Linked DNA regions of Cricetulus griseus. The protein of the gene in region 2 interacts with the protein of the main gene of each other region in a pairwise test. Links are inferred from orthologs where the notes say so. Each region holds a gene or a part of one and is shown on either strand. Other genes may lie near its edges.

Region 1 (5,687 bases), on a different chromosome or scaffold from region 2:
CCCTCAGTTTCCAAGAAGACAGACATGTCCTCTACCCAGATCCAGACCAGCTCTCCAGCCCACCGTGCCCCACAGCTCAGGTATGGATGGGCAGGGCAGGGCAGGCAGCTGTGACTGTCATCTGGGAGGGACTCCCACGCCCTGGTCCTCTCCTGAGCTTGGGTGTTGACCACAGCCACATGTTCAAGTTCCTGTCTTACCTTCTAGGTCTCAGGACCCCATACCCCCCTCAGCACCTCAGGAAGTCACAGACAGCAGCAAAGTAGCAGAGCCCTTGGGTGAGCCAAGCCGTCCCTTTCCCAGAAGGGCAAGGGCTCTGCCTCAGGCCCATGTGTGCTGTGAAGACAGCAGTAAGGCCATGTCTCAGCTTGCTGACATACGGCCCATCTCTCCTTCCACAGCCCCCTGCCAGGCCTTGGTTAGTGTTGCGGATGTCCAGGCCACTCTGCATGGGATGTGCTCTGACCCCAGCTCCTTGGACAGGTGACTGTTGGTGTCCATCTGAGCTGCTTGCTGGAGGAGGGGTAGGGGAAGCCCAGCCTCCTTGCTGAAGTGGCTGCTGCGCCCTTGTCCCTACTTGTCCTCAGCACCGGGCTCCACTTTGAGCTCCTTTGCCCCTAGAGCTGGCTGTTCCTTTTAGTGATGAAATGTTTTGGACAGTGGCAGGAGTGTGCGTGTTACCATAAGCGTACCCTGAAGGGGGTTGGCCACTGAGAGTCAGGTAGAAGGCTGAGGAGCCCCGGCTCTCCCGCCCCCATGCTCTCTCTGCCTTCAGTGTGCTCATAGGCTTCCCTGTTGTGAGGGCTCTGTGCCCCAGCCTTTTCTCACCTGAGGCCCATTCTGGAGAGACCACTGGCCTCAGCAGGCAGAGCCTGTCAGCAGGCATCTAACAGTAGTCAAACTGGTCTCTCCTACAGTGCAACCAGAGACCCCTCTACCTCTGTCCCAGCCTTTGAGGCCCAGAAGTCCCCCCAGACAGTGGAGGGGGAAAAGAACCCAGAACCTTTGGGGCTTCCCCAAAGCCAGAGGTGAGTTGGCCTCTCCAGGAGGTGTTGGATGGATGGGCAAGGATGGTGGGGCAGGAGGTAACCCCCAGTTCTCCTTTCTCCCCGAACAGTGCCCAGGCCCTTGAGACGCCCAATGGCTCTACCCCAGGAGGGCCCATTTCATCGGGTTCCCAGTGAGTGTGCCCCCAGCCTGGTGTGGGTGGGCAAGATGGGGTCACTGGACCTCCTCACACGTGTTTCCTTCTGTTTCTAGGTAGCTGCCTGGTGGCAGTGATGGCCAAATCCTCTGTCCTCCCCATGGAACCCCACCCCCCCCAGTGGGGCAGGATGGGTCCTTTGGTGGCCCTCTTGCCCATTTCCCCATATCCTGCATTCTCTCCTCTGGACTCCAAAGGAGGCTGGTGCCAGGGAGATGCCCTCACCCACCCCATTTGCACTGAGAAGAGAAACTATGGAGCTTTGTCTCCTAGAATAAAGATAGAGAGTCACATAGAGAGAGAGAGGAGAGAGAGAGAGGTATATTATATATTATATATATATATACATATATATATATATATTGAGGGAGGAGTAAGAAAGGAAGCCAGGACAATAGCTGGGTCAGCAGCTCTGAAGCACAGCCTCCCGGGAGTCGTCTGTCCAGCGGGGACCGGCGCTGGGCTTTGAGGCTGCTGACCCAGGCTCTGGTGCAGATGCTCACACCCGGCCTTTCACTCAGGACCACCTTGGGGTGTAACAGAGGGCGCTAGGCCCAGAGGGCCATGCGTTTGTTCAGACCTTGCACTTTGACCAGGCATCTGGCCCCTGGCCCTGGGGAGCGGGGCTTCCCTGGCAACATCCCTAGAGGGCCAGAACCGGGGATTCTGGGTGCCCAGTACCCTGAGGGTCCCAGCACTGCTGCCAAGTGGCCTTGTCCCAGCTCCTTCCCCCAGGCTGGCGTGAGTGTGCAAGTATGTGTGCAGGGTTTGTGTTTCATACTGCAAATATAAATAAAGGAAGACAGCTGAAGAATCCTGGTGTCAGACCTTGAGTTCTGGGACTCAGGGTTGGGTGAATCTGCTCTATATGGTCTAGAGAGAATGGCATTCTTTTGGAGGACACTGGTGAGTGTGTGAGAGTGTGTGTTTGTGAGTGTGTGTGGTGAGGAGTGCTTTTTTGTTTTGTTGTTGATTTTTTTTTGATACAGGGTTTCTCTGTGTGGCTTTAGAGCCTATCCTGGCACTCGCTCTGGAGACCAGGCTGGCCTCGAACTCCCAGAGATCCGCCTGCCTCTGCCTCCCGAGTGCTGGGATTAAACGCGTGCACCACCAACGCCCGGCTGAGGAATGCTTATTTTAAGTGTGTGTGTGGCAGGGGTGGGGGGTGAGGAGTGCTTATTATGCTCACCAGGTAGAACACGAGGAAAAGGGCAGCAGTCTTGTTGAGTTAGCGCTTTGGAATCCTCTCATCATGATGTGCACTGCCTTGGCCCTGTTTGGAGATACAGATCAGGGTAGGAGCTGTGTTGTCAACTCACAGCCCCCTTCCCTTCCCTCTGTCCTCCTTTAGCTGAGATCTGCTGGGAAGAACAAGAGGTCTCTGGACCTTGGAGCTGGGCTTTCTGCCTTTAAGGGGATAGGGAACGCTGGGCGTTGGTGGCGCACGCCTTTAGTCTCAGCACTCTGGAGGTAGAGGCAGGCAGATCTGCATGAGTTGGAGGCCAGCCTGGTCTATAGAGTGAGCTCCAGGACAGACAGGGCTACACAGAGAAACCCTGTCTTAGAAACTGCCCTCCCCCCAAAAAAAGGTGGGGTAGGAGGCAGGCAGCTGCCTGGGAGTCCCCTACTGAGTTACCCAGTAGTGGGCTGGGCCCTCAGCACCCGGTAGGTACCTGTCCTGTATATGCGAAGGCTGCAGAACAGAACAGCGACTGTGCAGTGCAGTGATCATCTTTGTGAGAAGCGTGTTTGAGTGACATCCAGCACAAGGCAGGGTTTGTTCAACCAGTGCTTGTGGCAGGGTTCCTCTCTGGAATCTTTCCTGCCTGCTGTTGTTAGGGGTTGGTTGTGGGGGGTAGGTCGCTCTCTGTGGAACCCTGCATTGTCCCTTCCTATTGGCTGGGCACAAGACAATGGGAGGGCCACCTATGCTGGCCTATAAAAGGAGGTGGCCAGGTTTCTCTGTGCGGGGGAGGGGCTGTGAGGGGTGGAGGGACCCTTGAGTCCTGATGGGCACTTTATCAGCAAGTGCCAGAGAAGAACAGGCCTTGGGTGAGCCCTGTTATCGGTCCCAGAGTCCACAGGACACTTGGATTAATGTGTAACCTTAAAAGGCTTCCCCTGTGCCCTCTGAAGCCACTGGTTCCTAAGTAGACACCACTCAGCATGGATCCTAGAAAAGAGGGGCTGCTTCTGAAGACACTCTTCTCAGACCAAGTGAGAGCCTGTGAGGGGTGGGGGGGGTTGGGGGTGGGTTCAGGCCTGGCAACAGGGGTAGCCCTAGGGCCTGTGAGTCCTTGTGGTGAGTTGGTTGGGATTCCCTGTCCTTCCAGGAGTTTGGGTACTAAGGTACTGTGGTCTTGTCCTGAGTGACAAAATTACCAAAGTGGGTAAAGATCCTGGTCCCTGAAGTCCAACCTGGATACCAGGGTGGTATGAGGGACACGTGTTAAAATAGGCCCTCACTGTGTATCATAGACTGGTCTTGAGCCCAGTGCCCTCCCGTTTCCATCTCCTAAGTACTGGACTTGTGGGCATTTCCCATCATCCTTGCTGTGACCCCTTCCTGAGGACTGGGTTGAGGGTGGGAGGCTGAGCAGCTTCCTCTCCTGAAGCACCCACAGGTCCGAAGGTGGCTGGTCCCCTTCATCATCGCCTGCTCCCTCTATTTCCTCCTCTGGATTCCTGAGGACCAGCCCTCCTGGATCAGTGCCCTGGTGAAATGCCTGCCCTGCCTGTGCCTGGTTGTGTTTCTGCGGGCTGTGGCCCCTGGTGGGAGCAACTCCTGGCTCCTCGAGGGAGGTCTTGTATGTTCTGCCTTGGGAGATGCCTTCCTCATCTGGCCTGAAGCTTTCCTTTATGGTGAGCAGGGACCCTATGACAATCCATTTAGGGATCTTGTGGAGTCAGCCAGTTCTGGGACACAAGTTTAGGTTATAGGGAGATGCCCCTAGAATCCACTGGGCTGAACCAGGCTGTGGTCCCGAGACACCCGGAGGCAGTGATGCGAGGCGGGCAACTCACGGTTCTTCTGAGGGTTTAGGGTCAGGCTGTAGTTGGAAGGGATGGTGTAGAGAAAAAAAAAAAAAAGTTTTTTTTTTGTTGTTGTTGTTTTTTGAGACAGGGTTTCTCTGTGTAACTTTGGAGCCTATCCTGGCACTCGCTCTGGAGACCAGGCTGGCCTTGAACTCACAGAGATCTGCCTGCCTCTGCCTCCCGAGTGCCGGGCTTAAAGGCGAGCGCCACCACCGCCCGGCAGTGTGGACAAAATTAAAATGCCCCATAGCTGAGGAGGGCAGGGTGTTGTTTTTGAGACATCCGTAGTCCACGTTGGTGTGAATGGCCTCAAACTTAGGCCTTAGCTTAATTCTGCCTTAGCTTTCCCGAGAGCTAGGATTACAGGAATATACAGAGATTTCTCTACCACACCTGGTATGGAGGCATAGTTTCTAGGATGTGTGTGACAGTGGCCACCCAGGGCATGGAATAGTGTGTGGGAAGGACCTGCGTTGCCCAATGGGCCCGTCTGGCTGGAGTAGAGTGGTTGGTGAAACCGGGGCGTAGGGCTTCCCAGAACACGATTTGGAGTTGATGGACGCGTGAACAGAGCCAGTAGGTGACACGGTATGAATTTTAAAGTCATTCTCATTGCTCTGGGAACTGATAGAATGATCAAGAATGGGAAGAAATTGGAAACCCACCAAGAAAAGGGGTGCTCTAATCTGAGAAGAATATGATGTGACATGCCGGGAGGAGCTTGTCCCGTTAGGTCTGGTGGTGAGAAGCAGGAGTGGATGCCCTCCGTTAGCCTCATGGGGCCCTGTCCCTCTCTCCCTCAGGCATGGCCGCCTTCTTTGTCGCCCACTCACTGTACCTCTGTGCTTTCGGCCTGTCCCCGCTGCAGCCCAGATTGCTGCTATACGTCGCCCCGGTCTGTCTCATCTACTACAGCTTCCTCCTGCCACACCTTGAGTCAGGCATGGTCCTTCCTGTGCTGGCCTACGGGCTGGTCCTGTTCTCCATGCTGTGGCGCAGCCTGGTCCGGGGTGGGAGTGCTGCCTGGGGCGGTTTGCTCTTCACCGTCTCCGATGGTGTGCTGGCCTGGGATACCTTCATCCACTCCGTGCCTTTTGCCCGCCTAGTAACCATGGCCACCTACTATGCAGCCCAGCTCTTCCTCGCCCTGTCAGCCCTCAGGAAGCCAGGGCTCAAATTCCACTAATGCAGGACCCGGACAGCCCAGGGTCTCCCGAATGCGTACCTTGGCTCTTCACATTGACCCAGCCTGGCAAGCGGATGCTTCCGGTCATGTGCCTGCAGATACTTGGCCATCTTAAAACATCTGTGTACCGTTGGCAGTTTCGAATCTACCACTGAGATCAAGCTGCCCTCCCCGGGCTTCTGATTGTGGATTCCAGGCTCCCAACCCAGCATACATCCCGTCTTGCCCTCCCCATGCCTGCTTCCTCTTCCCTGTCAGCCT
Region 2 (5,561 bases):
TGAGCTCTCAGCATGTAAAAGGACAGTGGTTTGATCCCTAATATAAAAACCCAACTTCTGAAAATATTACTCTTGACCCAGATTTGGGTGGTTCGGGTCTGTAATTCTAGCCACTTAGGCTGAGACAGGAGGATCACAGTTCAAGACCAGACAAGGACTATATAGGGGCACCCTATCTAAAAAATTCTTGGTGTTGGAGCTGAAGAGAAGGCTCGGAGGTTAAGAGTATCTGCTGTTCTTGCAGAGGACCTGGGTTTGGTTCCCAGCACCCACATGGTGATTCACAGCCGTCCGACCTCCGGTTCCTGTAGGTGTTCCCTATTCTGACCTCTGCTGGCACCAGGCACGCAGAGTGCGCATAGACACAGGCAAAACACTCACATAGAATAATTTTATGTCTAAAATATTTCATAAGAAACAATGCAGAAAAACATTTGATAGTGTGACAAGATGGCTCCATTGTAAGTAAAGCTGCTTGCTGCCAAGTCTGACCAATTCCCAGAATCCACACGGTAGAAACAGAGAACCAACTCACCCCTACATCAGCTTGTGATACATAAAACCCTGTCACACACACCCAAAAAAAAATAAAGGAAGAAAAAAATTTTAAAGTGTGTTAAAGGACATGAATACAAGTGCCCACAAAGGTCAGAGGTGTGAGACCCCCTGGAGTGAGGGTTACAGGCAGTTGTAAGCTGTCTGATGTGGGTACTGGGAATCAAACCCAGGTCCTCAGGAAAAGCAGTATGTGCTCCTAACCACTGAGCCATCTCTCCAGCCCTGTTTTTTTTTTTTTTTCTTACGACAGGGTCTAACTTTTAGCCCAGGGTGGTCTCCCAGCAATCTCACCCAGCCTCCCCAGTATTTACATTCCCAGGAGTGCCTGCCTTTTATAAGATGAAAAAGCTGTTTAGTGAGAGCAGTACAAGAATGAGAAGTTAAAAGGAGTGAGGGTAGGAATGACAAAAACAAACTACATACTTATGCAAAATTGTCAAATAATAACACTTTTTAAGATGGTTAGATTTGCCATATGGTGGTGGCATACACCTTTAATCCCAGCACTCAGGAGGCAGACCTCTGTGAGTTTGAGGCCAGCCTGGTCTACAGAGAGAGTTCCAGAACAGGCTCCAAAGCTACAGAGAAACCCTGTCTCAAAAAGAAAAAAAAAAAAAGATGGCTGGATTTAACCTTACACATTATTTGGCTGAATTCAATTTCCAGGGCACACTTGAAGATACAGGCCATTTAAGGTAGGTGTGGCAGCCTCCCCTGGAATTCCAGCACTAGGGAGGGTGATTTAGGAGGACTACTAAAAGTTCAAGGCTAGCCTGAAGCACAGACTGAAACAGTCTCAAAACAAACCAAGGGCTAATGAAATGATTCAGCGTTAAAAGCAACTTGAGTTTAATCTCCAGAACCCATATATAAAGATGGAAAGAGAAAAAGAACTACCAAAGTTGCCTACTGGCTGTGGATGGTGGCACAGGCCTTGAAAGGTAGAGGCAGGCAGATGTCTGTGACTTTGAGGCCATCCTGGTCTATACAGGAAGCTCCAGGAAAACCAGGACTATATAGAAAACTTTCCTGCATCCCCCCACTCCCCCAAAAACAATGTTACCCACTGCCCTACACACGTGTATCCAAACATACATCTACATCCACAATAATAATACGTTTAATTCAATTTTTTAAAGGGACAGACATGGTTGGGTACTCCTGGATCTCAATACAAGGGAGGAAGGGAGGAGGATGAGTTCAGCTGGGATACATAAGATCAAAAAACAAAACAAAACAAATGATATTTTAAGGACTATGAGCTATCTGGAAAAAATATTTAGAATAGTACCTGATTATTCAGAGCAGGGGAACCTGCGAAGTCCTCATCTGCCTATTATATACAGAACAATAGTTTAAGCATTTTCAATTCACTGTTATAAACATGAAGGATACATTAATCTAATTGCATGTATGAAATATAAGTGGTTCCCTACCCACAAACTTGCTTAACTTTCCCGTGTGTTAAAAAAAAAAGGTGGAGGGGGAGGCATCTCAAGGGTGTGGCAATTCATGTAAGGTCACACAAGTTAGGGCAGAGAGCGTCAACATTCTGGTTTATGCCAAGCCTCCAAGGGAAATATTAGAAATTTTGCAAAGCGTTTTTTTTTTTTAAACATCAGAAAGAAGAGGGGCCTGTCATCATAGTTCAAAACTTTTAAACACTGAGTGTAAGACAGATCTTTGAGATAAACACTTGTTCATGGGAATGGTGAATTGCTTAACAAAGCTATCAGCAAAGAGCATATGAATTGCTGGGCAGAGTCGTCCAATTTTTACCCCTTAAAGTAAAAGCCCGGGCTTAAAAAGTCCAGGCTTCCTCCTGCACGGCGCTATACTATAAAGGCAAGAAATGAGGGATCCCGTGGGGATATGGGGAGGACTTTTAAGAAGGCAAAGAAGAATGAGCGTGAACGGTTATCCATCGCCTCCACGGGGTTAAGAAAGCCTGTTGGTTGTGGTGTCCTGGGGTTGGGGGTGGAGTGGGAACGGGTGTCAAAACTGCAGCGCTAACCCTGAGAAACAGGACTCGGAGCGCTGTGGCAAGAAAGCACTAGCGAAGCTAATCTATAATCGTCCTAAGTGAACGGCACACACTTCCCTCCTCCAAGAACGAAGGCACGTCTCCCAGTCCAGACCCCCAAACGGACCCCGGTCCTCCGAGCGAAGGTCTGGGTGAGGGGCAGAATGGAGAGCAAGGGTGAGTCCCTGGCGCCGCAGGCAGCCAGCCACACAGCCCGTCCAAAAGCCACCCACCGTGGGGGCACGCTGGACAGGTCCACCAGCCCCGAGCAGTGCCCACAAGCCCCGACAAGCCCCGGCAGAGCAGCTCGGTCCTCGCTCCCTCCCGCCTGCTCTCCCCGCGTCCGGGGCAGCACCGGGCGGTCGGCTCGGGGGGTCTCTAGACCCCCTTCCTCCGCGGGCGAAAACCCGCTCCGCCACCCAGCAGGACCTTCCCGGAATCCCACTCCCCTCACCTGGCGCCAGCCCTGCCCCAGAAGGGATGAAGGAGACGGCGGCCGCAGCAGGTGCTTCCCACAGGGTCCGGGAGCGGCGGTGGCTGCTTCGAACCGCGGCCCTAATCTACCGCCACCGCCATGTTGGACGGTGAGGTCACCCCTGCGCGCTTCCGTCACGGCCCGCGTGGGGGAGCGGGGCTGGGGCGCGGAGCCGAGCCGGAAGTCCGAGGCTCGGTCCGCTGGAGCGGAAGCGGTGACCCTGCTGCCCGCTGGTCAGTCCGCGCAGGCGTGACCTGCGTACGGAGCTGTCCCTCGGCCTCTCTTTGCAGGAGCCGGGGGAGAAATAGATTCCTGGACTTCAGAAATGCCTTCGCTAAGTCATTTCCGGTGCCGAGTAGCGCTAAGATGAGGTAGACACCGCCCGCCTGCTCAGCCCGGTGTGGAACGAGCGGCTGGTGGCGTCGCAGACCTGTGCATTCCGGGAGTGCCCAAGCCCGCGCGGGTTGCCTGTCAGTACAGCAATCGCGGGCGCTGCCGGGTTCGGGCTCTCAGCCACCTACCTGCCAGGAGGTTGTCCTGAAAGTTGGAAAAGCAACTTAAAAGACAGGACTGACAGACGGGTCTAGAGCCCAGACACCGTGGTGGTAAAGGGCTCTTTTAGTAATAATACATTTCTACTTACAAGGCCTAGCAAAGCTGCCTGGGATGAAGTTCGTGCTGATGAATGCTTGTTTTCTGGGCTTCGTGAAAGCATGTAGCAGTCCAACCTGTGCTCCGAGATAAGCTGTGAATGCTTCCCACCCCCCCCCCAAAAAAAAAAAACATAATAGATTTACGTAAAAGATGAGGGGGTATGTGTAACCTGATTATCTAGTTTTCAGAGTATGAACTTTGCAGAAAGCATCTGTGTCTCAATGTGAAAAGATCAAGATATCTAGGTTAAAAGACGAGCATCCTGCTTTTGTTCTTAAGATGAAGTAACAAAGACAGCATGGAAGATTAGGAGTTAGGAAAAAGGCGGTTGTAACCAATCAGATCAGAAAGTGATAAATGTGCCCAGCTGCTTGTACAGGCCTGTAATCCCAACACTCAGAAGGCGAGGTAGGAGGATTGCCATAAATTACAGGTTGATGGGGTCTCCAAAGCTATTTCCAAGCGGTCAAGACTACATAGTGTAGCCGTGAGGTGGTGGCGCCCGCCTTTAATCCCATCACTTTGAAGACAGATGCAGACAGATCTCTGTGAGTTCAAGGCCATCCTGGTCTACAGAGCAAGTTCCAGGACAGCCAGGACCACACAGAGAAGCCCTGTCTCAAAAGAAAAAAACAAAAATCACAGTAACAATGGCAGCACAATTACAAGCATACTGAATTCTATTTAGTGGTATGCTTTTGTTGTTGGTTTTCTGGGACTGTGTCCTATGCTGACCTCAAACTTGTTCTGTAGCCTAGCATGACTTTGAATCTCATCCTGCCTCTGTCTCCTATGTGCTGGAAACTCAGGTTTATACTAGCATGTGGGTGCCTAGTGTCAGAAGAGGGCGTTAGATCACCTAGATCTGGATTTGTCAATGTTTGTGAGCTGTCATGTGGGTTCGAAGAAATCAAGCCTGGATCCTTAGGAAGAACAGCACTTAGAAGAGGGCAGGAGGGCCAAAAGTTCAAGATCATCTGCAGCTGCATACCGAGTTTTAGGCCAGCCTACACTACCTTGTCGTTAACAGAAATGGATTTGCCTGTTTTGCTGACTTGCTCCTGTCCACCAGCTTGGGAATAGGTGAGAACAGTGAGCATGCAGATCCATCGTTTGTGAGTAACCTGACAGGAATTTAGGCCAGCAGTTTTCATAGACGAAAGCAAATACAATTACACAAGAATAGACTTGTTTCTTAAAATTCATTTGAAAATTTGTTTTAAATAGTTTCTCTACGAGAACCAAGATAAGACTGGGTTTAGGAAAATATGAATTGGTTAATACTTGCAGGTTTAGTATGCTCTTAGATTTAAACAAAACACTTTTTTTGAGACAGTCTTACTGCTTAAACCAGGCTGGTATGGAACTTTACAAATCGCTGCCTCTACTTTCCCAAGTGTTAGGATTATAAGAGTATACACCTGTTCTGTACTGTCTGAAGAACGAACGATCTGTGCTAGCGGTGCTGTCAGTTTAGAATCAGATATTAAAATATCATTGAATAAGTAGTTTTCAACATCCAGCAAGGGACAACTGAGATAGCATGATTGAGAAAGTAAAAGGTAACTCACAAGCATCCAGCAAGAATTGACTGGGGAAGTTGAGGCAGTCAGCAGGAATTCCCAGTTAAAATTTCTCTCCATAGGTGAATTGTCTATGGAACACATAGCTGAGCGTCCAGCTTCCAGGTCCTACTGAAGGTATTTTTATATGATGGGAAACAGTAACCTCTGTTGGAAATTATTTACCTTCCAAATGTTCTCAAAGGACATGATGTTTTAATTCAGTTGCTTTAATGGTAACTTACCTCATTGTCAGAGCTAGGGGGCCAGCCTGCTGAAGAAAGAGGTG

Evidence for each region. The genes of interacting proteins can lie anywhere in the genome.
Region 1: the proteins of Bcl2l13 (region 2) and Tmem86b interact in binary tests that used the Homo sapiens proteins (3 or more experiments, as listed by UniProt). The two-hybrid records come from large-scale screens. The link is inferred for Cricetulus griseus from reciprocal best matches to the Homo sapiens genes BCL2L13 and TMEM86B.

The regions. Positions count from the first base shown.
Region 1 is NC_048602.1:23,280,585-23,286,271, reverse strand, and holds the start of Tmem86b (lysoplasmalogenase), read left to right. Parts: upstream 1-2,255; 5' UTR 2,256-3,370; coding exon 3,371-3,421; intron 3,422-3,819; coding exon 3,820-4,066; intron 4,067-5,043; coding exon 5,044-5,426; 3' UTR 5,427-5,687. Other genes in the region: Ppp6r1 (serine/threonine-protein phosphatase 6 regulatory subunit 1), read left to right, coding at 1-80, 208-278, 402-483, 918-1,028, 1,118-1,180, 1,261-1,264. UniProt on the Homo sapiens protein: Catalyzes the hydrolysis of the vinyl ether bond of choline or ethanolamine lysoplasmalogens, forming fatty aldehyde and glycerophosphocholine or glycerophosphoethanolamine, respectively and is specific for the sn-2-deacylated (lyso) form of plasmalogen.
Region 2 is NC_048601.1:24,056,851-24,062,411, forward strand, and holds the start of Bcl2l13 (bcl-2-like protein 13), read right to left. Parts: upstream 3,176-5,561; 5' UTR 3,036-3,175; exon of another isoform or gene 2,550-3,035; intron 1,892-2,549; exon of another isoform or gene 1,850-1,891; intron 1-1,849. UniProt on the Homo sapiens protein: May promote the activation of caspase-3 and apoptosis.